Rattus norvegicus: one gene and its partners. The protein of the gene in region 2 purifies or fractionates together with the protein of the main gene of each other region. This does not show direct contact. Links are inferred from orthologs where the notes say so. Each region holds a gene or a part of one and is shown on either strand. Other genes may lie near its edges.

Region 1 (3,500 bases), on a different chromosome or scaffold from region 2:
GGAGGAGCTGGGGAGCCGGACAGCGCCCCACCCAGCTTGCCTCAGGCCACCACGGGAATGGTTGAATCTGACATTTCCATACACATAGGTGATGTGGCCCCCAGGAAACACTGCTCAAGGGCTTAAAGTGAGCAGTGTGCTTGGGCTTGTTCAGCAGGAGGGGATTTGAGAAAGACTGGATGAATCGGTGGCTTTGGTTTTCCCTTTTTGCTTTCCGTGTTTCCAAGTTTGACACAGGTGCCAATCCTAGGCTCTGGTGTCCTCCGCTTGTCTGGCTTGCTTGCCATCACCTGGCAGGGTGCCGACTGAAGCAGTGAGTGGTGCTACTTGGCACCCACGCACTGCCACCCTGTCTGCTGTGGGTGCTTGTCCTCCTCCTGCACAGAAGCACTTTCCTCCTCAACACGCAGAGAGAGACTGGTGTCAGCCGACACTTCCCACTAAGAATAAAGATGTCTAAAAGGAGCAGTGAGAACTAAGTTTAAGATCTGCTTGTATTTCACGTCCATGTGGGCAGATGGTTAAGGTGTCTTTTTCTTGGCTGGGCTCAGATCTGGGTTCAGACCTCGTGTGTGTTCTGTGACACCTGTTGTCTTTATTTCTTGAGGGGTCAGCAGTCCCTGCTGGACTGGCTCTGAAGCCAGGTGTCACAGTTGTTGTTTCTGTTGCAGGCACCCCAACATCCTCAGGCTGTATGGGTATTTCCATGACGCCACCAGAGTTTATTTAATTCTGGAATACGCGCCCCTTGGAACAGTATATAGAGAGCTTCAAAAACTCTCCAAGTTTGATGAGCAGAGAACAGCTACCGTAAGTGCTCACCCTCCCTCGTTCTCCTAATGTGCCTTCTTGATGGTGGAGTTGGCCTGCGTTCGGAGAAGGGGCTTCACAGGATCAAATATTTGAAACAGGAAAGTCAAGGCAGCTTAGTTGCCTCTAGACGGTTATTGGCGAGCTTGAGCTCTAGCGTGTGCGTGCGCGCGCGTGTTTTTTTGAACACAGTTTCTGGTTCCCACACCTTATTTCTCATACTTTCTTTATAACTAAGCGATCCTGGCGCGTGACTGGTGTGCTAAAGCCCACTCTTCAGAGAGCTTCTGTGTTCTTTGTGACCAGAAAGGGTGTGGGTATGAGAAGATCTTGGTTTAAAGTGTGATTTTGTCACGTCACCATTGTGCATTTGTAATGTAATGCTCCCTAGGTGGTAAGCTAGTTTCTTGGGTGGCCTTTGTCCTTCTACCTAAAGTCAGTGTCCGCCTTCCCATGCTGGCCTCTCACAGCCAGTAAGCATGCTCTCCCCGGGAGAGCATGGCGTGTGACTTATTTGGCGCTGTGTGACAGGAGACCCCTCCTGCTGTAGTCTTTTAGGTTTATGTCATCCGTGTGGATATTTTGCTTGCTTTTTTCTCTGTTCCCATAGGCCAGAGCAGGGAGTCAGATTCCCTGAACTAGGGTTTTTCAGATGGTTGTGAGCACCCATGTAGGAGCTGGAAAGTGGATCTGGGTCCTCTGCAAGGGGAGCCAGTTTCCCTGTCTGTAACTTGAACTGCAGAGGACTTGTTTTGTGTTTGGCCAGCACTGCTTTATTGTGTCCCTGGACGCTCTTCCTGGTTTCCACATAAACCACCACTGCGGGGCTTTTGGCTGTGTGTGCTTTGTTCTGGTGCCGAGTACTGGCCTCATTTTACTTGCAGGCCTGGTCCTAGAAGCAGCCATTTCTTCCTTAAGGATCTCGGCTCCTTGGTGGAGAGTGTTACTAGAACTAAGGACTCCTGGGAGCTCTCGCTGCTGGGATGTTGTTGCTTCTAGGTCTTCAGCTGGGGAGAAGGATCATGCGTGTGTTTAGTGACCAGTATTCGTCCGTCTTGAGCTCATCCATTGTGTGTGGGACATTGTGGACACCCCCCTTTTTGGACTTCACTGTACACTGCACCCCAGCAGCACCCACTGCCTCTCTTTGCTATGCATTCCAGTGTGCCTGGGTCTCACTGTGGGCCTGTGCCATTTGGTGACAGTTTGTCATTCCACACAGCACTCCTCGGGCACTTGCTGCCATGGTTTTGGGCATCAGTGTTTCTGACAGGTAGTCATCTCTCTGTGTTGGTCTGTTGTTTCCAGGGCATGTGACATTGGCTATTTGCCATTTATGCCTTGTCATTAGATGCCTGTATATCTCTTCCTCATTGTTGTGTTGTAGTTCCCTTAGCTCCTGTCCTGTGTGTCCTTCCTGCAGGTGTCTCCTCCCAGTCTGAGTTCTCCCTCTCCCAGCTCCTGCCCTGTGTGTCCGTCCTGCAGTTGTCTCCTCCCAGTCTGAGCTTTTCCCTCCTCCCTTCTCAAGGTGGTTTTTGGCTTCTTGTCCTTAAAGCACGGCAGTTTACTTTTTTTTAAAACCCTGTCTGCTTCCTACATGTTGGAATTAAAGGCTGCCATCATGCCCACCTGACTTGACAGCAGCCCCCATTAATTGGCCATTAATAAGAAATCATATCACTGGACTGTCTTGACCAGTCATCCAAGTACTGGTCTGGAGACTTTATCATATACAGCTTGGCCTTAGCTTGGGCTTGCTCCTGACTAGCTTGTACAGCTTACACGGGCCCACTTTTACTAATCTGTGTTGTGCCGCACGACTGCGTCCCTCTTATGCAACCAGTCCTGGTGCCTGTTTCTTCCTCTGCTTCTGACTCGAGAGCCCCCCACACTCAATACTTTTATTGAGTTCCTGTCTCTGCCTGGAAGTCCCGCCTGTCCTTTCCTGCTTTGCCATAGGTCGTTTGGTTCTTTATTAAAGCAATTAGAAGGATGATGGAGAAGAATGTTTATAAAGCATTGAGACAGCGATGCTTCATAAACAACAATACCAAAGCCTGATCTTGTTCTCCTTTTGGGAAAGCAAAGGTTTTTTGCCAATCATGCCTTGTTACACTAGAGCTGAGGTGGTTCGTGCATGCTGAGTAAGTGGCCACCACTGAAGTCCACCTCACCCCAAGTCTGGGGAGGCTCCACAGGAAGCAAATAGAAAGACGGGTTTGCTGGAAAACGCTCACCACTTTCTGTCTTTTCGTACTTACCTTTCATGTCGATTAAAACTTAACGGAGTTATCCTGAGTGTCCTGCTATGGGATGCAAAGCAGACCTCGGGGCTGGCAATAGATTCCTCAGATCTGGAGGCCGGGAGCTCAAGGTCTGCACCTGGTCAGGGCCGTTAAAATGTCTAAAGATTGCTGAAGCGTTCCATTGCTAGCTGTGCAGTTCTGTAAGTCAGTTTACAGCCAGTGCCTTCCCTGCCTCTCAAGATTTCATTACTCGTGCAAGCATCGTGTTAGCTTGGCCCTGAGAGAGTCTGTCGATCTGTATCTGCTATGCAGACTCACCCCTTTTTTTGCTTCAAGACCTGGAAAGAAACACACTAGTCTATGTTGGATCAGCTTTGAGTTGCCCGACTGCCTTACATGAGCCTGACCCCTGAGCCTCCTGTGCTCTTTTTCTCAACAGTACAT
Region 2 (3,500 bases):
ATCTTGGTTTGGCCTGGAACTATGTAGACCAAGGTAACCTAAGCTTGTGGCAATTCTCCTGCCTCAGCTTTCTAAAAGTTGAGATTTCAGGTGTACGTCACTATGTCTGACTAAGAGACAACATTTTTTTTTTCTCTTCAGCATAGTAAGTGATTTCCAAAATGACTCACGCACAACACAACCAGGGCCTCTTTGCCTGAATCTGTGAAGAGTGTGTCGTCCACAAATCTTCCCTTATCAACCTCTGAGGTAAGTCAGGTTATGTCTGGACAGGCCCGGAATGCCAATCTCACCCACCATGTGTTAACACTAAACACACTAGGCACTGGAGACAGGAGCTGAGCTGCAATGTCTCCCTGTGCTTTACAGGACTAGGGAGCTAACCAGAAGAACCCAAGAACCCCAGGCCAACTGAGAGGAACACTGTGTGGAGGATAAGTCTGCAGGTTGGGCTGTGGCGCTGTGACTCACAGCTCTCTGAGACACTGGGAGTGGGGCTTGATCACCTCTCCAGTCTGCCTACTTGGATCTAAGATAGGAATAGCAACATGTCTTGTCTCAGAGTTACTGAGGATTACGTGTGCTAAAGGAGGCTGCATGTGAGATGTCAACACGGTGCCTGGAACACAGGAAAGGCCTCATGCACAATAATACGAATACATGGCCCGTTTGCTTTTCCTACGACTTTGGCTTCTAGGAGACTCTTTTTGCAAAAGGAAGTCTTTAGATATGTTCCTTCTGGGAGACTTGTAATAGGACCAGAAACTGACAGAGCTTAAGATTTTATAGTCACTGAGTCAACCTGAACAACCCGACATAGACAGCTAACCAGGGGGAGGAAACTAACACAGGTGTCAACCCCAGGTTATCAGGCCACACTGAGCCTCACTGCAGCTGAAGTGTGACCAGCCATGCGGTTTTCATTTACCCAGGCTTCCCCAGAGCAGAAGTGCAGCTTCCAAAGGCAGCATTGCACTTGCAGGCAGAGTTTGCTTTGCTGATGTCCATCAGTGACCAGCAGCATCTTACCTGCTGCTTTGAGAAGAGCTGCCAGCCTGGTGGACCCTCTTCCAGCTGCTATGTGTAGAGGTGTCGTCCCATCGTAGGTGGTGCTGTCCACGAGGGCGTCACCCTAAACCCACCCACAAAGAGAGAGTTAGCAGAAGGCTCATTTGTCTACCTCCATATCTCCATGGATCCTCAGGTTATATTGTTAGCCCAATTGCTAGACTGAGCTGGCTCTGTCACTGGAGAAGTCCCCCAGTTAGGGAGCTGGGCTGGAGGTGGGGACGCAGGAAGTGGCCTCTCTGAGCACCAGCAGATGCCAGGCAGAGCTGAATGCTGACAGCACAGCTGGTCCTAGCGTCACTCTTTGCAAAGTTCCTTGAGGGCGTTTAGTTCAAGATCACAAGGGCGTCCTTTACCTCCAGGAGCAGGCAGCCGGCCAACGAGATGTTGTCGTACTCCACGGCCAGGTGCAGTGCCGTGCGCCCAGACTTCTGCTCCTGAGCGTTGACTTCTGCCCCAGCAGCCACAAGCAGCTGCAGACATGACAGGCTGTTGCTCATCACAGCTATGTGAATGGCATTCAGACCTAAGGCCAAGCAAAGGCAGAGATGTGGGCAAGGTTGCCAGAGCTGGGCTGTGGGGAGGAGGGACACCGCCAGGTCACGGCACTTCCGGTTTTTGTTCAGGGCTTGCTTCAAAGGCTCAGAAGGTCCACTGTTCTGTTTTTAGAAGCCACGAGCTCCTATTGTGCTCACGGGAGACAATGAGCTACCAAATAAACATTCTCCACATATGTGATGCTTTCTGTAAGACTAGTGTTTGCCCAGGCCTGCTTTCCCACTTACTAAGTAACTTTCCCGAGTCATCTTTAAGGGTAAACAGCAGAAATAACCACGACATCTGAGGAACTCCGGCTGGCAGAGGGGAGTATGGTGAAAGTCAGATACATTTACCAAATGCCAAGCTCTTCTGCAGCAGCCGGCAGGGGAAGGTTAGCCAGCAGCGTGACTGCCCTTACCTTCCCCGTTGGGGTGGTTGATAAGGAGTGCTGCCTTGCTGTTCTTGAGTAGGACCCCGAGGATTTTATCATGTCCTTCTTTGGCAGCTAGGTGCAGGACAGAGTTGCCCCAGCGGTCCAGAAGACTCAGGTCAGCCCCAACCCTCAGCAAGTCCTCCACCACATCTTCCTGCTTGGTGATCACGGCCAAGTGCAAAGGTGTCTACATAGAGAAGGAGCAGGAGAGCCGTTGGTTATGAACATCTGTAACCCCTGGCTTCAGAACTATGCCATGGAGTCACGCTGCAGGGACATCTGTCATTCAAGGGGCTTTCTGTTCCACATGCCAGGCTCAAAGGCCCAAGAAGGGCACCAGCATCCAACAGTCAGGGTTATAGAATAAACTTAAAATGCTTAGTAGTTTTACTAAATGATTTTTTAAGCCATGTAGAAGTAAAATTAAGCTTTTTTGAATTTCTGATAGGAATCTATACCTGGTAATTCTACACATTGTCAAATCCAACCAATGCTGTGTTTTTTTTTTTCTTTAAGATTCATTTATTTATTATATATAAGTACATTATCGCTGTCCTCAGACACACCAGAAGAGGGCACCAGATCCCATTACAGATGGTTGTGAGCCACCGTGTGGTTGCTGGGATTTGAACTCAGGACCTCTGGAAGAGCAGTCAGTGCTCTTAACCACTGAGCCATCTTTGCAGCCCCCAATGCTGTGGTTTTAACAAGGAAATGTAAATACACTATTAAAAGAAAGCAATCAAGAAAGGGGCCGTCCTTCACAATAGTATGGAAATACACATGCTAAACCAGAACACGGTGCTACAGGCTGGCTTCAAGAGAGCCACAGTTACAAGCGATACTGCCGTGCTACCAAAGGTATTGCCGGGTTCTCCTTGGCACAGCCACCCAATACAACACTCGCCCCAAGAAAGCTCAGGCGGAAAACAACCCCAGCTACTGTGCATAAAAGGCACAGGAAAGTCTTTCTGACTACCCTGACTACAAAGTTGTGCTTCCGTGGGTGTAAGGAGGATGCATGGAAAACTGTTTTCAGAAACGAGCAAGGTCAACACAATCATGAAAGTGTCCGTCAAAGAACTGAGGTCACTGATGGAGAGTGACACCTTTCAGTGTCAGCCAGTCTGTCTCGCTGGAGCTTTACAGTGAACTCCAGGCTGCGTAGTGAGGACTCCCATTCAGGGAATAATTAGTTCCCGCTGGAGAGGCAGCGGCAGGTGGGCCACCAACACAAATCACCACGGTGATACTTTAGGTGTCTAGATCTTAACCCCTAGGATTGTATCTTAAACTCGTATAAAATGTGTGTCTCAAGATATCCCTAGAATCGATCTGTGGAGCTCAGTGTTCAAACTGTCCTAGTAACCCGCTTCTGTCACAGATGGACAGGTAGGCATGGTGCAGGTGCTTACTGCAGCATTCTCCTCAGAAGCAATGAGAACAAACAAGCTGTCCA
Region 3 (3,500 bases), on a different chromosome or scaffold from region 2:
AAGTTTAGAGCGCAGATAAAAGAAACCTTAAAGTAAGAATAGGAATTTGTAAGAAGTATTTTAAAGAGGGAGCTAGAGTATATCTTTAATTTTTTTCTTTGCTTTTTGTTTGTTTGTTTGTTTGTTTGTTTGTTTGTTGAGAGAAGATCTTGTTCCAAACTGGCCCCAAACTTACAGTCCTTCCACCTCAGTCCTGAGTGCTGGGATTAGAGTTTTGTGCCATTACACCCGCCGTGAATGCTTTTGTGCTGTTCGTCAGAGGCCTGCTCTTGGAGTCTAGCCACTTGAAAGATGATGATGCTAAGAGGAGTTCTCGAGACTAAGACTTTAGGGCTAGTCTGAACAACAGAGTGACTCCTTGTTTCTTAGTAACAAGAAAGGGGGAAAACTTAACTATCAACATTGAGACTTACTGGTTATTTGTCTAACACTGGAATAATGCTCTGACAAGAGTCTGTAAGAAAGTCTAGCACTCTAACAAATACATTTGTTTGTTTGTTTGTTTGTTTGTTTGTTTGTACATTTAGGGCCTCCCGAGAAAATCCAGCTATGCAAGAAAAAAAAAGATCAAGCATCTGGCAATTGTGAGTATAGTAAGGACCAGAATCAGAGGTGATGCTTGGAGACAACACGATACTGACTTTTCCCAGTTGGGAGGAAATAGCTAATCCGAAATCCTTCTCTTTAATATACAGCATGCCAACTCGGTAAGGCTGTGCCTCAGGACCCAGAGTAGGCTATCGTAAGCTGCACTGTGTTGGTTATGCCTTTGTGGAATCTTCTGCTGGCTTACATAAAACCATGGGGAATTATTTATAAAATTGACAGTTACATGAATCCCCATCAAAGAGAAGATGAGAAATTTGATATTTGTACTGCTCAGTTAGTCTTGCGTGTGTTAAACTTGATTATGTTTGCACCAGAAGTACTGTCTCTTTTTTGACATTAAAACTTACCCTTTAGGATTAATCTTGTTTACTGGAAGCATAAATGTTTAAAACTGTGGACATGAAAATAGATCCTCAAGTTGAGCCTAGAAAATTCATGATATGAGTTAACTTGGTGATGTGTGTTCCCGGTGTAGCAGACCTTTCTATGCACTGCACGCTAAGCTTTGACTGTCATCACAGTCATCCCCCTGCTGCTCACTGACCACTGTGACCTTGTCCCATATAGGAGCTAGCCAAGGAGCCTTTGTATCATACTTGTTTAGTGGAAGCTTTTTGTACGCAAAAGCATCTCTTTCGTTACAGAACTTGCTTATATCTGATCTGGCATTCTAAGCAATACTTACTTTCCCCTGAGTGTCCACGTTTGGTTGTGACTGACTGCTAAGGCTGTGGTATAACTATAAAAGCGATTTTGCGAATGTCTAACTCACTGCCTCGTAAAGTTCAAACTTTCTTAAGCATAAAAGTTTATGGGAAATTGGGGCTTGGTTTTCACAGTGCATGTAATAGACATAGCTATAGGTTTTGATTGTTTGCCTCTCTTATTTTGATAGTTTCAGCCGACTTTTTAGCTCTTCAAGTAATGCAGCAAAGAAGCCCGAACCCCCTGTTAATCTGAAGTACAATGCCCCCACCTCTCACGTGACTCCCTCCGTGAAGAAAAGGAGCAGCACTTTATCTCAGCTCCCTGGTGACAAGTCCAAGGCGTTCGATTTCCTTAGTGAGGAGTGAGTATTCCGAACAGAGTGCTAGAACCGGTCACCCTTACTAACTCCTCAGTCGCTGAGAGAAGTCGACTGTTTGTAGCCAGGCATAAAGGCTTATGTTAATCCAGGACTCAGGGTGCTGATGCAGGAGATCATCACCAGTTCCTTGCCAGCCTGGTCTGTACAGACAGTTCAGGCTAGCATTGGCTACACACATAAACCTGTCTTAAGAACAAAGACTATTATTTTGCGTGTTGGGGTTATGGATAGAAGTGGAAAGAAGAAAAAAAAAGGATGGTTTCTATAGCGTGGATGGATGCTTTTAAGTAAATTACCTGTAGAGCTTAGTAATGTCATTCTAAACCTGTGGAAGCTGAGGCAGGAGGATTGTAATTTTGAGGCCATCCTGAGCCACAGGGATTTGGAGACTTTGCCCCAAAATGAGTGAATGAATGAGTGAATGAATGAATGACTTGTAGCCAGCATTTCTTGTGAAAATTGCACTTTAGGACTAGTGAACTGGTTGAGCAGGTAAGAGTGCTGCCAACCTTGGTGGACTGAGATCCATCCCGGGACCTGTGTGTCGGAAGGAGAATGCACTCTTCTGGCCTCTGAGGGCACCAGGCATGCACATAGTGCACAGACATCCATGCAGGCAAAACATTCCAAACACCTAAAGAAATAATTATATCTAAGTTTAAAAAATAATCATGAGAAATGGTGTAGAATCTAGGAGTTTAGCTTAATCACCTTCCATAACAGCTGGCATTAGAAAATTCTCAGTATTTTTTAAGAAAAGAGAGATCCCAAATTACCTCAGAAGTTTATGCTTTTAAATATAACATCTGAAACGTCATAAGTTTGATGACTAATAACTCAGTTTAATACAACATGCTGCTTATTCCCTGTTGAAGGCTGGTTTCACAAACATGGAAAAATCAGCTTTGGTATAATCCTCATGAGCGCGCGTGTGTGTGTGTGTGTGTGTGTGTGTGTGTGTGTGTGTGTGTGTGTATCTGTCTGTGTCTGTGTGTCCGTCTGTCTGTCTCTGCGTCTCGGGTACAAGGCTCCAGGGTGGAGTCAAGGATGACTCAAATGCTGGATTGTTGCATTCTCATAATTAAAACTGCAAATGTCTCCTTTTAGAACTGAGGCTAGCTTAGCCTCCCGCAGAGAGCAAAAGAGAGAGCAGTATCGGCAGGTGAAGGCTCATGTTCAGAAGGAAGATGGCCGAGTGCAAGCTTTCGGTTGGAGTCTGCCTCAGAAGTACAAGCAGGTACTTGGGGATGTGATGAGCGTGTCTAGCAGGAAGTGCACACTGAGAAGAGTGTGCTTGAAAACTGTGAACTAGAGGCAACATCCTAAATTCCTCATTGCGGCCTGCTTCGATATGTTTAGACAAATTTGGAGGATATGGTCTTTCAGGCTATTTTCTAGAGCCCTAGAATGTAGTAAACATGCCAACTCCTAAAGACTAAGCACTTTTGTTTACAAACATGCATTTACGTACACATGCATGATGGTGGTTTCTGCCTCCTGCGAGCTCTCGTGCTTACTGTCTGCAATTGCTGCTTGAGTTTTGCTTATTTTTCAAGTAAGAACGACAGAATCAGACTTGACTTGATTTCAGGAGCAAGCCTGTGACAGTAATGCTACTTATGTGTCTCAGTAGTTCTGTAATCTCAGTGTTAATGGGACTTACTGATGTGTCCCCCTTAGGTAGCCAATGGTCAAGGGGAAAATAAGATGAAAAATTTACCTGTGCCTGTCTATCTCAGACCACTAGACGAAAAAGATGCGTCTATGAAGGTAAGCTGTGACATTGAAGGAGGGACTCTCAAAC
Region 4 (4,093 bases), on a different chromosome or scaffold from region 2:
TCGAATTCTCCTGCCAAATCTGCGATCAGGGGACTTGACACAGGAGCTCTCTATGAAGATTTCCCAGGGAAATGATGCTCCCCTAAAGATAATAGGTGCATCCCTCCTAACCAATCCCCCTGAGGACTGATGAGGGGGGGTGAAAAGGCAAGAGAAGTCGAGAAAAAATAGGCAGAGGGTAGCAAGCAGAGCCCCTCCCCTCATCTGTGCTGGCTGGTCAGGTGACTTGATGGGAGTTAGAGTCATCTGAAGGGAGGGAGCCTGGGTTAAAATGCCTCCCTAGGGGCTGTAGAGATGGCTCAGTGGTTAAGAGCATTAATTGCTCTTCCAGAGGTCCTGAGTTCAATTCCCAGCAACCACATGGTGGCTCACAACCATCTGTAAATGGGATCCAATGCCCTCTTCTTGTGTGCATGAAGACAGCTACAGTGTACTTGTATAAATAAAATAAATAAATCTTTTAAAACATAAATAAAATAAAATGCCTCCCTAAAATCCAACAGGAAGGCACTTTCTTAATTAGTGACTGATGGGGAGGGCCCACCCCATTCCATTGTGGGTGATGCCGTCCCTGGGCTGGTGGTCCTGGGTTCTTTAAGAAACCAAGCTGAGTAAGCTATAGGGAGCAAGTCAGTAAGCAGGACCACGCCCCCTGGCCTCTGCATCAATCAGCTCTTGCCTCCAGGATCCTGTCCTGTTTGAGTTTCTGTCCTAACTTCCTTTGATAATGCACTATAATCTAGAAGTATAAGGCGAATAAATCCTTCCCTCCCCAACTTGTTCTCTGATCAGGATGTTTCATTGCAGCAATAGAAACGTTAAGGCACCGCCCACCAACCTACGCAAACTCCCCACAAAGTAGCCAGTTTGTGCAGAAAATCAAAAAATGCACTTTTTAAACAATCGAACGAATAAACGAATGAAGACACCGCGGAACTAAACAGAAGGAACGAATGAATGCATAGAATTAGTGAATGAAGTAAAAAGAAAGGGGAAGAGCGAGTGAATGAATGAATGAGTGAATGAATGAATAAAAAAATAAATGAATGGGCGAAACAATCAACACGAGAGTGAGAGAGTGAGTCAAGTCCGGTAACCAGAGACTCCCTGCCTACGCAAGCAGCAAACAGGGGGATTCCGGAGGGGCGGGGCTCTACCCGGAAGCGCCTTTGAGGGGCGGGGTCATGGGCGTGGTAGTGGCTTGTGGCCACTTCTTGGGCCCGGGGGCGGGGCGAGAGAGAAGACCTGACTAGGGACCCTTCAGCTGCCCAAAGCACCCGCTGCTGGAGACCTCGCCGGCGCCCTGGACCTCTCGCTTTTCTCGTCCGCTCCCCGCGCCTGCACAGCCAGGTAATGAACCCGCTCGCAGAGGGACTCTGGTTCTGTTAGGCGGACACACAAACCCGGAAAAGCGCGCCGCACACCTCAGAGTTAGATCCCGCTGGACCCTGGATCCCGGGCTGGCGCGGCCGGCATGTCGGATGCGCGGAAGGGGCCGGACGAGGCGGACGACAGCCAGTGCGATTCCGGCATAGAGTCGCTGCGCTCTCTGCGCTCCCTGCCCGACCCTGCTGCGGCCCCAGTCTCTGGATCATCGCACAGCGGCTGCCCACAGCCTTGGAGCCATGCTCCGAAGACGGACAAGGAACCAGAGGGGAAGGAAGATGCGGATGGAGAGCGAGCGGACTCCACCTATGCCTCCTCCTCTCTCACAGAGTCTTTGCCCTTGCTGGAGAGACCCGAGGCCAAGGATCCAAACCCTCCCACCCCAAGCTCGCCGGTGTCCCCCGCGGGGGTGCTGAGCCCTCAGCAACTCGAAGCGCTCACGTACATCTCTGAAGATGGAGACACGTGAGTAAACTAGCTAGGCTGAGACAGGATGCTCAGCCAGAGCCTCCTTAGGAGCTGCAACTGGTTAGGCACCCACGACCACTTCATCACCTGAGAGGATAGACTCTTCTTACAGCACCCGCCCCGGAATGGCCAGCCCCACCCCACCTACCCCCTTCTCCAAACTCCAAACTTAACCTGCAGCCTGCTTTTAAGCTGTAGTTCAGCTATAGTTTAAGCCAGGTTCAGACCAAAAAAACAGACATCATCATCTCTTTTGGGAGCGGACAGAGCTAGCAGGGCCCTTGTTACCTAGAACACCAGGCAGAATCTTGAAAATCTACCGGTGACCCACCCCGGGGAAGAGGAATTCCCCCACAACCTCCCAACCAATTCGGTTTTTGTTTTTCTTGTTGGGGGAAGGGGTGTCCCTGTTTGCTCAACATTTGGGATACCAGGGCCTGACTTCAGAACACCCTAACCAGAGGGGGAAAAATGATAACCCCAGGATTACAGGTTGTCATCTGAGCCCAGGAAGCATGGACTACGGGTACTGCTGGGTGCCTGTTTGGAATTGGTTCCAAAAGAAGGGTGGCTAGACTGAGAATTCTTGCCCCCAACAAACAGGATAGCCAGCTGCCGCCCCGGCTCACTTCCTCCTCTGCTGAGAAAAGGGAAGTAATGGCTTGGCGTCAGCCTCCTCAACACACTGCACCTCCCAAGCTCCCCAAATTCTCCTTACTGTCCTATGTTATCCCGATCTTCTCTTTCCTCCCCTAGGCCCAGCTGGAGTCAGGTGCAGCTGGGCTGGGAGGTTATCAAAGTCAGAAGAGGTGACTGGGCATTGGGGGTGATAGAGCAGGGACAGCTGGAGACCTAGATGAGGGAGATACTGGTGTGCAGGGGGATACCTGCCCTGACCTGCTTGTTGCAGAGGTAGGGGTCTCTGGTGGACACTGGCAAAGATAGTCTCAATCCTGTGATCAGGAGGAAGGTGGTAAGCCTTTTGTATTACACACACCAGTCACAAACCCTTATCACAGAACCCCAGAGTTCTGGGAGCACCACACACTTCTCAGGCCGTCCTCCACGGTTAGTCTCTGAGCTGCAGCCTTGATGAGCTCTGCTTAGAGACAGGTGCTGAAAGATTCATCAGGACTCCCCAACAGACATCTTCCCTCCTTTGGAGATGGCTGGACTGTGGGAAGTGTGGAAGTGCGAAAAGGAAGTGGGCGGGAGGAGGGGAGACTGAGGGAGAGAGGGAGGTGGCTGCAGGAATGTGACCCAGAGAGCAGGCCCTGGCCGAGGGGATTTCCAGAGTGGTTCCTCCCTCCCTCCGTCACTCTCTCCTGGCCTCCTTTACTGCCTGCCTACAGCAAAAGTTTGCCCCCGTCCTGCCTTAGTATCCCCCTCCCTAGCCCAGACAGCCTTTAGCCAAGTTGCCCCAAGGCAGCTGTCCTAGTCTAGACCATCTAACCCTGGCTTTCGTTTTCCCCACCTGATGTGGGGAAACCCCAAGACTGGAACTTCCCATCCCAACTGCCCTGGCTGGCCCTAACTTATGCTCCCCATCAAACCCATTTTCTGCACTGCACCGTACTCCTCTTGGAGCTGTACCTAGGAGAGGGTTTGTGGCCAGACCCCATATGGCTTGTGCAGGCTGAGGAATGGCCCTCTTGACTAGTGGGTAAGGCAGCAAGCAGTTTGCAATGCCACGCTGGCTCCTTGGAATGTGTGACATTGAGTTGCTGGGGGAACCCCACGTCTGCCTCCTCCCGTCCTCCCTGTTGTGGGGAGGTGGGGAGCTCAGCCCTGGAAACCCCCTGTGTTCCTCCAGCACCTTTCAGTTTAGCTTTGAGCCGCAGCTGGCCTGACCTGGCCCCCGGGGGCAGAAGAGAAGCTGGGTGTAGGCAAGTTGGACAGGAAGGCCCGTGTTCTGTCAGCACCCTGCCCACATGCCCACCCAGCCAGGGCCCTCCACAGGTCCAGCCATCTGAACTTGGAGCTCCCACCTCCAGAATCCTGGCTTCCTGTACCAACCCCTCACTTCCTGGCCCAGACTCTCACTTCCTGCACCTGCTTGGTTGTGGGTAGCTAGAGGTTGAGGCATTCATTCTAACCCCAAGATGCCAGCTTATCCTCTCTGACCTGGACTCTGACCCCAGTCCTCTCCTGCTCCAGGCTGCTCCACCTGGCAGTAATCCATGAAGCCCCATCGGTACTATTCTGTTGCTTGGCTTTCCTGCCCCAGGAAGTCCTGGAT
Region 5 (4,059 bases), on a different chromosome or scaffold from region 2:
AAATTCAAAACATCAACTACGTCACAATTTCATGTCCATGCATGAGTGCTGTACCAGAAAATGTCATTCATGAAACTGTACTAATCCTAAACCATAATATTAAATGAGCTCTTTAAAAATAATCAGATGGGGAGGACATTTAAACTGTAGACAAGTAGTAATGCCTGATCAATAAGGGTTTACTCATGTTCATAAAGGTCTTTTGAATGTATAGAAACATACTGAAAAGTAGAACAATTTTAAACAAATTAAGCCATTAAATAGTAACAGTTTAAAACTGCCCCTTTCCAGTTAGACTCCTTCTCTGAACCGCAGACCAGAAACTGATTTGAGTGACTGTGTTCCGTTTCTCCTAGGGATGCCACCACAGAAGAAAAGTTAATTCGTTCAAAGATGCCCTGGAGCACTCTCTCTTATCCGCGCAGGTCAAATGCATGTCCCCTTCAATAAGCCTAATGCACAGCCTGAAAGCTTACTGGCCAGATGAGTCTCTGTGCTAGTGTCTTGTGCTGTTCTGTAACAATCATGAATTCAACAGAAATCTAAGGTTGCTTCTAAGCACAAATTGAGGATCTGGCAGAGATAATATCCTGAAACAAACACCTAACAAGGCGTTTATTCACCTCTTTTTGTGTCTTTGTCTACTTCTAACTTCTTTGTCTACTTCTAACTTCTTCCATGTTTGCCTCCCTCACTTTCAAAAACAACATTAGGACGGTGTTTTCTCTCTTCAGCTTTCTTGAGAACTCCTCCACTGCTGTGTGGTCCTGCCTATCTCTTATATACTCAAGCCACTATCTTCAAATCACATGCTAATTTCAGGAAAACAAACCTTTTCAATGATTTCTGAATTTTTGCCCCACTGACTACTGACATGGATTTTAACTACTTCTTTGAGCCAACAACAAGCAGGAAGTATATTATGCCAGGAGCCATAGTGGGTCTTCAACATAACATAAGCCACATATCCAAGTAAGTATGTGTGTGTGTGTGTGTGTGTGTGTGTGTGTGTGTGTGTGTGAAATAGGATTGTGAGGATAAATCCTAACAATGTTTTTAAATTGATTTTTCAAAATGGCCAGGGATCTCTGAACTATCTAGTCTAGCTGCACATACTCCAAGCAAAGACACCCATTTTAAAATGTCCATTACTGCAGGCAAGAGCTCCTGGAGTCATACTTACCATCTCAGTCATGATTAAAAAAAAAAAAAAAAAAGACATCATACCAGGTCTTAGATGATTAACCTACTCACACTGCATCCTCAACTCCAGACTTAGTTTAAATGTTGCTGCCACCACTACGCCCTCTCTGATTGGCCTAGCCAGAGGATTCCCCCCCCCCCCCCCCCCCCCCCCCGTTTATAGTACATCCACATGCACAGCTCTTCTTGCTTGTGGAGTGGATTATTTCTTAAGGGCCTGCCTCAATGCTTATCCAGGTCCTTCTCTCCACACCGTATTTACTTGGGAGCAGGGGAGGAGCAGGTAGTATAACTGAGATCCACACTACATTCAAGCCTCATCTGCAGCTCTCAAGTCAGACATACAGTATTAAGCTTAATTAGCCTCCCAGGTTTGGCTTGTATAAATGGGGATAATAATATCTCTCTTAGCATTCCGAGATTTAAAATCAGAGTTCAGTTAGAGCAGACCAGAGCAAGGCTTACAGGAACCACCATAAACATTACTCATAATTATCTACAGGCTGCTGTGACAATCAGCTGGTAAATGTTTAGCAAAATACAGGAGAGTGAGTTCTCCTATGGTGAGTGAGCAAATAAATAAATTCGTGTTTTGTACTTTTTACCGGAGACTTAAAATACAGTCATCCTTTGGTGCCTGCACATGGTTCCAGTACCCTCCACCAAACCAAAACCCTCAAGTTCAGTTATTTTAGTGCTTATAATCTACCCATGACTCCTGGTCATCTCTACATTAGTTACAACACCAATACAGGGTCAAAGTTGTAAAGAGTTGTTGTATATTATCACAAGGAGAAAAAAATAACAGCACATGTTCACACAATAGTTTTCCCCAAATGTCTTCCACCAAAAGCTGGTTCAATTTGTGGGTATGGGACTCACATACCTTGAAGAATGAAAGCAAGGTTTCACTATTAAAAATATGTCTCAAAATGAAATGAGGCAGATCTAAGGGCCTTTCCCCAAAATACCATCCTCTGTGAGCCTAGAAGGCCCAATCAACACCAGCTAGAAAACGCCGAACTGGGCCGCCAAAGCATTTGAAATTCCGCCTCTGATTCCACATACATTTAACTTTTTCCCCCCTCTGCTTAAGTTTGCAATTTGGTGTGTGCACACTATCAAACACCGCGCGCAACCTGGATTAGCAAACATCACTTCAATGACAGAATGAAGTGACTTTGTCAAAGTAGCCTTTGTCGCCCGACTCCTACCTCTAGCATTTACTTGCACTACTGGACCCACTGCAGACTGCAGGTGCACTGACAGGAGCCCTGACTGCCAGGAGAGTCGGCGGCAGCTAACTCGCAGACACCCCCCTACACTACCGTGTAACCACGGCAGCCTCCCAGTCTGGCCTTCTTCCTCCCAGGACTCCCAACGGGACAGGAGGACCCCGCCAGGCCGCAGCAGCGCAGACCGCTTCTAACTACGGCCCCTAGCCCGGAGGCCCCGGGAACCCCGTAGCCGGTAGGCTCCACTCTCTGTCCTTTGAGGCTCGACCTACCATGGCTCCGATTGTCCGAGCCCCAGCCTCTCACAGGCTCCGAGCGACACTGGTACTCAAGAACACACAGACCCACGGAGCAGTGGACCCACTGACGTGGAACTTCCGGGAAGCGGCTCTCGCGACACTCGGAACCAGGCTCTGCGCCTGCGCAAATTCTCCGTAAGGCAATCTGCGCGTAGTCCCGCCCCAGTTTCCTAGGTAACGCGGCCTTCCGCGTCTTCTGCTGCGGAGCTGTTGAGTTGGCTGTTCCGTGTATTGCTGAGGTTAGGATAGGGCGGTGACCAGCGGCCATCGGGCAGTTTACCTGCTAGCAGGTTCAGAAAGCTAAGAAGATGGAGCACGGTGCTGAATTCCTGCTTAACGCCGGCAACAGCGATGGGGCCCGGAAGCCCTATCCGAACAACATGAGCCTCTGGCGGAGAAAAGAAGGCTCTGAAACAGTGTACTCCAGCGGGCTCCGGAACGGGGCCCAGAGCGGTGTCTGGTTTGGGTGATACCGACCGAGGCGGAAGAGATGTAGGCACGTCTCCCGCCTTTGAAGCTCCGAGGAGTCCTGAGATCTTGGTTCTGGATCCTCCCGGAGTCAGTCGAGTGATTGCCCTTCAAAAAGCATCCTCCTGGTCGTTTGTGTGGTTACAGCTGAATGTATAGCCAACACCACACAGGAGTCGTTTCCATTTTATTGATTAGGAAAGTAAGGCTCAAGGAACTTGGGTTTACTGGCCAAGATGACATAGTAAGCAGTGTTGTTAGAATCTGGACTCAGGGGGATAAGCCCTGGGAGCCCCGTGCTCTATCTGTTACGCCAAAGCAGCTCTTTAATAAGTTCAATTTCAGAAAATATCACGCCCTAAGAATCGCCAGGAAAAGTGCAAATGCACTGTGTACCGATTTCCACACACACACACACACACACACACACACACACACACACACACACACACACCTTTTAAAAAGCAAATGCTATGAAACAATGGAACTTGCCCTTTGCTGCTTATAAACCTCTGGTGGAGAAAAGCCTAGGTTTCCAGAAAGGAGGTGTTTTCATTAGTTCCTGGCTCTTGGGAGATTTATGCGCCTCGATTTTCATGTACAAAAAGTTGGGTAGTTTCCAAAGATCCACCTTTACTCTTTTGTCTCAGTAAAAACAAATTTTCTCTCAGTAATGAGATTTTACGTGAGTGAGATGAATAATCACATAATTGCACACCGTGCAGTAACCAATTGCAAAGCTCAGTTGAAAATGTTTTAAACGTGAACTATAATCTAGTGTGGTAGAATAGTGGAGCTAATATTTTTGATTCCTTAATTCTTGCATTTTTGATTTGACACAGTATCAATAAGTA
Region 6 (3,500 bases), on a different chromosome or scaffold from region 2:
AGCCTTGGGGTTCTCGGCCCATGCCAGAAGCTTGCTAAGGCATTAGCATATCCTGACAGACATTCGAGACTCGCTGATGCAGGCCCTGGCCAGTTACGTGTGTTACCCACATTCCCTGCGGGCCGTGGAACGGATCCCCGAGGAGCAGTAAGTAGCTTGGGGGGATATGTACCCCTCTGGACAGCACCATGCCCAGCCTCACTCTATACCTGCCATCCCTCACCTTCCTTCCTAGGCGCATCGCCATGGTGAGGAACCTTTTGGCCCCCTATGAGCAACGACCCTGGGCCCAGACCAACTGGATCCTGGTGCGGCTTTGGAGGGTAAGCCTGACCTGAGGGCAGTAGCTAAGGACTGCGGGAAGGAGATGCCACCCTGTCCCTGACTCCCGACTATTTAACTCCGCAGGGCTGTGGTTTTGGGTACCGCTACACACGGCTGCCACATCTGCTGAAAACCAAGCCAGAGGATGCTAATTTGCCAAGCCTCCAAAGTGAGTATTCAGATTAGACTAGCCCTGGAGACAGCCCCAGACAGGCAGTACCCCTTTCCTGCTACTCTCACTGCCCTTGAGTCTTCTCCAAGCCTCCTGCCTGGGCTTGTGTCAGGCTCCTAACCTTCCCCTCAGGCCCCCATTTTCCTCCCTCTTAGCACAGGGATGCTTCAGGATGAGAGCTTTTGTTCCCTTTGGGCTGGTAGTGAAGGGTTAACAATGGAAGGACCCCTTCAGCTTGGCGGAAACTCATAGTGGGTAGGGACATATTTTATTCACTCCCCTCTGCCTGCCTCTTTACTCCCAGCCATATCCCTGAAGTGTTTCTTCCTTCTTTGTTATCTTCTGGCCTTGGACCTTTGATTCAAGAGGGGGCACAAGCTAGAAACTGATCAGGACGCAGAGGGGGCATAGATGTGGCTAAGAACAGAGGCTCTCAAAGTGTCCTTAGCCCAAGGGCCTTCACCGGGTGCTGTGTAGCTTGCAGAGAGGGCTCATCACACTCCTTGCAGCCAGTGTCTTGGTCTCTGCATGTTTCCAGAGAGGTCAAAAGTCTTGTGCAGACTCACACAGCAAATCCTTCCTTGCTGAATACCCTCACCTGGACTCTAGGATGGACCTGAGCTGCAAGGGGGGAGGGGCAATGGGCCCCGATACCATCCCTGTGTGCAGGAACTATTGATTTGCATCAGAGGGTTGGAGAGGTATGTCGGGCCAGCTGCAGCGGAGAGCTCTGGTTACTGCTGCCCTTCCAGCCCAGACTTGGCGCTCAACACCTAAGCCAAATGCCAAGGCCAGACCAAGGGCAGCAGAGGACAGCAGGGCAGGGTCTGGGCTCTTTATGAAGCCAGCCTTGACACTAGTGCGAACAGTCAGGGTTGTCTTGTCTATATCTGACATCTGCCCGACAGGCATGTGATTCAGAACGTGCTTCAGGCCAGGCCCGCAGCTCTCGGCCCATGGGGTATGACAGTATTGGAAACACCTGCAGCTTTTGGCTTGCCCAGCAAGAGGGAGACACACTTGCTCCTAAACTCTCAAGCCAAACTGTGCCGTTCCTCGGCCTTCGTGATCTGAATATTCTTAGGCAGTCATCATTTTGTTCTTAAAGCAGTGGTCCAGGAGGACAGGCAGGAGTCCTGTCGTGGAGTCCCTGGTCACACTGCTTTCCTCTGTCCCCAGAGCCCTGCCCTTCAACCTTGCTACAGCAGCACATGGCAGACCTTCTGCGACAAGGTTCTGATGTGGCACCAAGCTTCCTCAACAGCGTCCTTAACCAGCTCAACTGGGCCTTCTCTGAGTTCATCGGCATGATCCAGGAGGTGGGCTGTGGTGGGGAGGGGTGGGCAGAGACCGAGGCACACCAGTGCTGCAAAGCCTCTCTCTGATTGCTACCTGGCTGCCTGTTGGTGGTTTAGATTCAACAGGCTGCTGAACGCCTAGAGCGAAACTTTGTGGACAGCCGGCAGCTCAAGGTCTGTGCCACCTGCTTCGACCTGTCAGTCAGCTTGCTGCGCGTCTTGGAAATGACCATCACACTGGTCCCTGAAATCTTCCTTGACTGGTCCCGCCCTACCTCTGAGATGCTGCTTCGGCGTCTTGCACAGGTGTGTCCATCTGGACGAGGAGGGAAGGACCCCGGGGATAACTCAGGTGGTGCACTTGCCCACCCACCAATAGGCTTCTGCCCTCACAGCTGCTGAACCAGGTGCTGAACCGGGTGACAGCTGAGAGGAACCTGTTTGACCGTGTAGTCACGCTGCGGCTACCTGGTAAGGATCTAGGTGCCCTGCACCTCAGCACACCAAGGCCTTAGCTTCTCTGCCAGGAGCCTGTGCTAGATTCTCCATTCAGCACCAGGACATCCATGCTGTGCACTCCCAGCCTCAGCTTGCCTTAAGTAGGAAAAACAGTGGGAAAGGCCAGTGGTATCAGCCAGGCCTGAAGCCTCTGCCACAGAACCAACATAAGTGGTTAATCTTCCTTCCCTCCCTTAGGGCTGGAGAGTGTGGACCACTACCCTATCTTGGTGGCAGTGACCGGCATCCTGGTACGCCTCCTGGCACACGGTCCATCCTCAGAGTGAGTACTGGGGACTGTTGGCTCTCGTGGGAACTGGGTGTGCACTTTGAGGAGGGGCTGATAGGGCAGAGCCTCATGGTACCCAATTGTCTCAAAATCAGAATCAATTTTGGGACCCTGAGGCAAGGAATACCAGGTGATGTGTAAACTGCTTTAACAGGCGTCAACATCAACTGCCCGTGGCTGGGTGGGAGGTCTTAGCTTTCAGCCACGCCTCCTGCAGGGGGCATAAATCCCCAAACTTGGAAGATGTGCTATTCTCTAATGGTCAGGGCCATCCTGCTGGATCAAGAGCTGAGCACACAAAGCTACCGACCTGGGAAAGCCCAGCAGTGAGCATGAACCACTTTTATTACAAAACGCCTTAGCAGTCATCTAGGACAGGGCTGTCAGCTCATCGTGGGAGAGGCTCAGACCATCTTCACCACCTGCAGTGGGAGTGCCAGAGGCATGGACTGAGGGTTCTGTTTAGCCATTAGGTTGAGTGCCAGTCCTTGCGAGGCCTCTGCTCTCCAGAGCCAGACGCGTCACCTATCTGTGCTTTTTCCTGCTGGGTTATGAGCCCAAGGGACTGGATCTGCCTCTGGCTGAAGACAGCAGGGCTACTCCTGCAGGGGCATCCTGTAGGAGGGATGCATGCCCAGCAGACTCCACAGGAGACTTTCAGCCTCCAGGAGGCCGGAGGCAGTAGACTGGGTCCTCTTCAGAAGGTAGAGGGCTCATTTCCTCCTTCTGTCATAGAGTGGGAGCTGGGTCTCCTGAACTGCCATCTCCTGCCTTGGGCGGGGTGGGGCGGGGCAGTGTATGTTTGACTTTTCCATACCATACCACACCCTGATGTCTGCATTAACTCCTGGGGGTGGTCCCAAGACTCTGATACAAGGGCTCTCACCAGATTGGCTTGGTCTATAATCATAATGGGACA
Region 7 (3,500 bases), on a different chromosome or scaffold from region 2:
CTGTGGTGGTGGTGGAGGTGGTGGTGGCGGCAGTGGTGGTGGTGGTAATGTATACTATCATTTAAAGCTCCATTAACCAGGGACTGCATGGCATTGCCCTCGGCCCTCCACACATACGTTGCAGTTGTATAGCTTGGTCTTCCCGTGGGACTCCTAACAGTGGGAGCAGGGGCTGTCTCTGCTGTCGCCTGCTGCCTTTGGAACCCTTTCCTCCTACTGGGCTGCCTTTTCTAGCTCTAAGAGAAGAGGAGGTGCTAGTCTTACTGCAACTTGGTATGCCAGAGGCTGGAGAATATCTAGCCCGCCCTCTCCTGAAGAGAAACAGGTGTGATGGGGGAGTTACGGGAGGCGGGGACTAGGAGAGGAGGGAGGGGAAATGGGTAAACTGCAGCCAGGATGTAAAAAGAAGTCGTGGGTGTGCTCATCAATAGTCATCTGATTTGAGTGGCATAGAAGTCAGCAAGTTCACCTCTACTGCGCAAAAAGTTCTGCATTGTATGAATCAGTGCACGTGTTCTGAGTTATCAGTAGTTTTTGATGATTATTATAGTAATGGATAACCATAGGGGGCAATATGCATCTTCTCTGGTCTGTGGGTGATAACACCCACCTCTCCCTCCCTCTCTCTCTCTCTCTCTCACTCTCTCACACTCTCTCATTCTCTCACTCTCTCACTCTCACTCGTGCACATGATGTGCAGAGGATATCACCTTACTTGGCGATATCCCTCCCCACCCCCATAGTTTCTGATTTATTTCTGTATATATGATGGTCAGGTGTTGTGATTGTCTCTGGTCACTGGTGTAATTTCTACAACAGTATTAGTTACAGACTCTGGTTTGCATGTGACACAGCTTTTGATGCCACTTCACATACAGTCAGTTTGTGATGCAGGAAAACGGTGGCTTTGGGGACAGTGAGATCAGACCTAGGGCCTTTTGCACACTAAGCGAGTGCTCCATTACTGACTTACGCACTTAGCTCACCACCGCTGGTAAAAGGTGGTCTACAATCCAGAGAATGTGGTTATTCTGGAAGTATTTCTTGAGTTAACATTTTTAGGCATAATACTTAGTATAACAATGGCAGCTGAAAATAAGATATTTGGAGTAGATCCCCAAGAATTGCATATGTTAAAAGGTAAGATATTGAATTCACAGAAAGCCTGTCAAAATCAAAGATTTATGACAGTAATTTTTACATCTAGGGATTTTTTTTTTCTTGGTTTGTCATCAAGTACAGCATTAATTCCTATAACATGAAGCACCACTGATAACATGTTTATGAACATTCAATTGTATATTAAGCTGCATTATCAAATATTGATTTAAAGAGTTTCTTCTGGAGATATCAGTAGCTCAGATTTTTGGGGGCTTCATTAGCACGGGCCCCATCCCTGCACCGAGTAAACTGTGGTGCAGGCCTGCTAGCCCAGCAGAGGGAAAAGCAGGAAAACTACAAGTTCAAAGTTATTGTTGGTTCTTTTGGAAGTTCCAGGCCAGCCTGGACTGAATGAGTTCCTATTTCCAAAAAAAAGAAAAAAGAAAAAAGAAAAAAGATTGCTTATTCTGTAGAAACATGTATTATTCTAATTTTAGCTTATGACATCTTTAAAACTGTTTAAGCCAGAGTGCAGTTTTATTTTTGACAGTTATTACTTTAAAGACCGAGGGAAGCATTCAAACAGCGTGTTGACTCAGAGTCATGAAAGCGGGTGCCTCGGACCTAGTTATGTTCATAATGACGTAACCAAGTTATGGCCATAATAAACTTATGCCCAGACAAAACCCTGAAGGTAGTTTAGAGTTTGGAGGCTGCCTTGGCCTTTGTCTCACTCACATGAATGAGAAGAGTGCGTTATGAGCTGCCTCATTTTTCCTTCATTAAGGGAAAATAATTTTAGCTTCTTAGTTTGAGATGACTTCATGTTGAAGGTTATCAATCCACTCAGAAGCAGTGTGTGTGTTTGTGTGTGTGTGTGTGTGTGTGTGTGTGTGTGTGTATGTGTGTGTGAGAGAGAGAGATTGATTGATTGATTGATTGATTGATTGATTGATTTGCTTCAGTGTACACTTTGCTCCAGGCTTTGCAGTTTGTGTGTGGTGACTGTCGGAGCTGGTGTGGACGGGTCACACAAGCAGTGCCTGTGTAGACAGCAGTTTGCTTAGTTTATTACTAATTCTATTTCATTTCACAGAGAGCTGCTGAGCCAAGCCAGGTTGTATGCCATCGTCGCTGAAAAAAAGGATCTTCCAGAGGAGCCTGCTCCTGTGAGAAGGAGTGGCAGTCAGTTTGATTGGGCCCTAATGAGACTGGATAATTCTGTCCGGAGAACGGGCCGCATTACCAAGGGGCTTCTGCAGAAAGTCTTTGAGAGCACGTGCCGCTCAGGTATTGAGAGTTTCTCGGTAGGAAGTCGAAGCTTGTAACGGTTCCTGGAAGCTCACTGGGGAGAGCATCATTTGCTATTCAGCATCAGTTCTGATGTCAGCTGTGACTCTGATCCTGCTATGCTTCCAATTCATCCAGGCAGAATTTGAAGTAACACGAGAATATTTTGTTTAGAGTTCATTTCAGAGTCAACAAACAAAAACGTCTGTTTGCTTCCTCTGGTTTCTAGAGTTGCTCTCAGTGGTCAGCTGAGGTAGAAGACACCAGGCTTTCTCTTCTTTCTTTGTGTGGTATCAGCTTTTCCTGAGGTGACCTCAGTGAAGACTGACAGGCACCAGGTCACTTTGATCTTGGATAGTGGGACAGGAGCTGCAGACCCTTTATTCCCAGGCTTTCCCTCACATCACAACTGCAGCGAACCAACACGTATAATTTTGTGTGCAGTTGAAGAAATTCTATACACTCCCAGAGCCTGTTAGGGGTGTCCCTTTGGTATGGAGCAGAGCTTCTATGACAGTCACAGTCACATGCACTCAAGGACCAGAACCTCCCATCCACTCAGAGCTGTTCATCTGTCACAACTTTTCCATGGTCACCCTCCCCAGCCCTTCTCACCCTTTCCAGTCCTAGGCACACACAAGCTATTTTCTGCCTGCCCTCTTAGGTGCTTGCTCTGGATGGACTTATAGATAGAGCTATACAGTGCATGTTTAGTTTCTGCCCTCTTAGGCGCTTGCTCTGGATGGACTTATAGATAGAATTATACAGTGCACACTTATTTTTGTTTCGTCTTAAAGTCATTTTCAGGGACATGGAGATGAGCTTGAGTTTGATAATGATGAGTCCTTATGTGCCTTTTGTCATCTTCATGATACCGAGATGCTTAGCCTTTGGCGTGTAGCAGATACGCTTAAAAATTTGCTTTCTTTGGACTCATTAGTTTTACAGATTACGAAGTTTCATAACCTTAGGCTTCTTAAAGCAGACACTGTTAGAACTTTAAATTGTAATGTGTACTGATGATGTGGATCGGGCGGTGTTTGGGTACGGCCTTGTCTTTGTTGAGCCAGGAGGCTGTGGATAATTAAGGGATATTCTTCTTGATCTCG

Evidence for each region.
Region 1: the proteins of Nfkb1 (region 2) and Aurka purify together in Homo sapiens (affinity purification with mass spectrometry; 4 studies listed by BioGRID and IntAct, counting the BioPlex papers as one, with this or other methods). This does not show direct contact. The link is inferred for Rattus norvegicus from reciprocal best matches to the Homo sapiens genes NFKB1 and AURKA.
Region 3: the proteins of Nfkb1 (region 2) and Spag9 purify together in Homo sapiens (affinity purification with mass spectrometry; 5 studies listed by BioGRID and IntAct, with this or other methods). This does not show direct contact. The link is inferred for Rattus norvegicus from reciprocal best matches to the Homo sapiens genes NFKB1 and SPAG9.
Region 4: the proteins of Nfkb1 (region 2) and Nfkbie purify together in Homo sapiens (affinity purification with mass spectrometry; 4 studies listed by BioGRID and IntAct, with this or other methods). This does not show direct contact. The link is inferred for Rattus norvegicus from reciprocal best matches to the Homo sapiens genes NFKB1 and NFKBIE.
Region 5: the proteins of Nfkb1 (region 2) and Copb2 purify together in Homo sapiens (affinity purification with mass spectrometry; 5 studies listed by BioGRID and IntAct, with this or other methods). This does not show direct contact. The link is inferred for Rattus norvegicus from reciprocal best matches to the Homo sapiens genes NFKB1 and COPB2.
Region 6: the proteins of Nfkb1 (region 2) and Rnf123 purify together in Homo sapiens (affinity purification with western blotting; 4 studies listed by BioGRID). This does not show direct contact. The link is inferred for Rattus norvegicus from reciprocal best matches to the Homo sapiens genes NFKB1 and RNF123.
Region 7: the proteins of Nfkb1 (region 2) and Lrpprc purify together in Homo sapiens (affinity purification with mass spectrometry; 3 studies listed by BioGRID and IntAct, with this or other methods). This does not show direct contact. The link is inferred for Rattus norvegicus from reciprocal best matches to the Homo sapiens genes NFKB1 and LRPPRC.

Annotation. Positions count from the first base shown.
Region 1 is NC_086021.1:181,550,770-181,554,269, reverse strand, and holds part of Aurka (aurora kinase A), read left to right. Parts: intron 1-671; coding exon 672-810; intron 811-3,495; coding exon 3,496-3,500. UniProt on the Homo sapiens protein: Mitotic serine/threonine kinase that contributes to the regulation of cell cycle progression.
Region 2 is NC_086020.1:226,697,463-226,700,962, forward strand, and holds part of Nfkb1 (nuclear factor NF-kappa-B p105 subunit), read right to left. Parts: intron 2,229-3,500; coding exon 2,027-2,228; intron 1,595-2,026; coding exon 1,425-1,594; intron 1,133-1,424; coding exon 1,030-1,132; intron 1-1,029.
Region 3 is NC_086028.1:79,537,877-79,541,376, forward strand, and holds part of Spag9 (C-Jun-amino-terminal kinase-interacting protein 4), read left to right. Parts: intron 1-527; coding exon 528-584; intron 585-1,504; coding exon 1,505-1,678; intron 1,679-2,803; coding exon 2,804-2,933; intron 2,934-3,376; coding exon 3,377-3,466; intron 3,467-3,500. UniProt on the Homo sapiens protein: The JNK-interacting protein (JIP) group of scaffold proteins selectively mediates JNK signaling by aggregating specific components of the MAPK cascade to form a functional JNK signaling module.
Region 4 is NC_086027.1:22,945,073-22,949,165, reverse strand, and holds the start of Nfkbie (NF-kappa-B inhibitor epsilon), read left to right. Parts: upstream 1-1,293; 5' UTR 1,294-1,474; coding exon 1,475-1,851; intron 1,852-4,011; coding exon 4,012-4,093. UniProt on the Homo sapiens protein: Sequesters NF-kappa-B transcription factor complexes in the cytoplasm, thereby inhibiting their activity. Sequestered complexes include NFKB1-RELA (p50-p65) and NFKB1-REL (p50-c-Rel) complexes.
Region 5 is NC_086026.1:108,039,428-108,043,486, reverse strand, and holds the start of Copb2 (coatomer subunit beta'), read right to left. Parts: upstream 2,801-4,059; 5' UTR 2,714-2,800; coding exon 2,711-2,713; intron 1-2,710. UniProt on the Homo sapiens protein: The coatomer is a cytosolic protein complex that binds to dilysine motifs and reversibly associates with Golgi non-clathrin-coated vesicles, which further mediate biosynthetic protein transport from the ER, via the Golgi up to the trans Golgi network.
Region 6 is NC_086026.1:117,622,275-117,625,774, reverse strand, and holds part of Rnf123 (E3 ubiquitin-protein ligase RNF123), read left to right. Parts: intron 1-59; coding exon 60-147; intron 148-235; coding exon 236-323; intron 324-408; coding exon 409-493; intron 494-1,675; coding exon 1,676-1,815; intron 1,816-1,911; coding exon 1,912-2,100; intron 2,101-2,173; coding exon of another isoform or gene 2,174-2,189; coding exon 2,190-2,265; intron 2,266-2,490; coding exon 2,491-2,575; exon of another isoform or gene 2,576-2,581; intron 2,582-2,908; exon of another isoform or gene 2,909-3,500. UniProt on the Homo sapiens protein: Catalytic subunit of the KPC complex that acts as E3 ubiquitin-protein ligase. Promotes the ubiquitination and proteasome-mediated degradation of CDKN1B which is the cyclin-dependent kinase inhibitor at the G0-G1 transition of the cell cycle.
Region 7 is NC_086024.1:15,622,638-15,626,137, forward strand, and holds part of Lrpprc (leucine-rich PPR motif-containing protein, mitochondrial precursor), read left to right. Parts: intron 1-2,197; coding exon 2,198-2,391; intron 2,392-3,500. UniProt on the Homo sapiens protein: May play a role in RNA metabolism in both nuclei and mitochondria. In the nucleus binds to HNRPA1-associated poly(A) mRNAs and is part of nmRNP complexes at late stages of mRNA maturation which are possibly associated with nuclear mRNA export.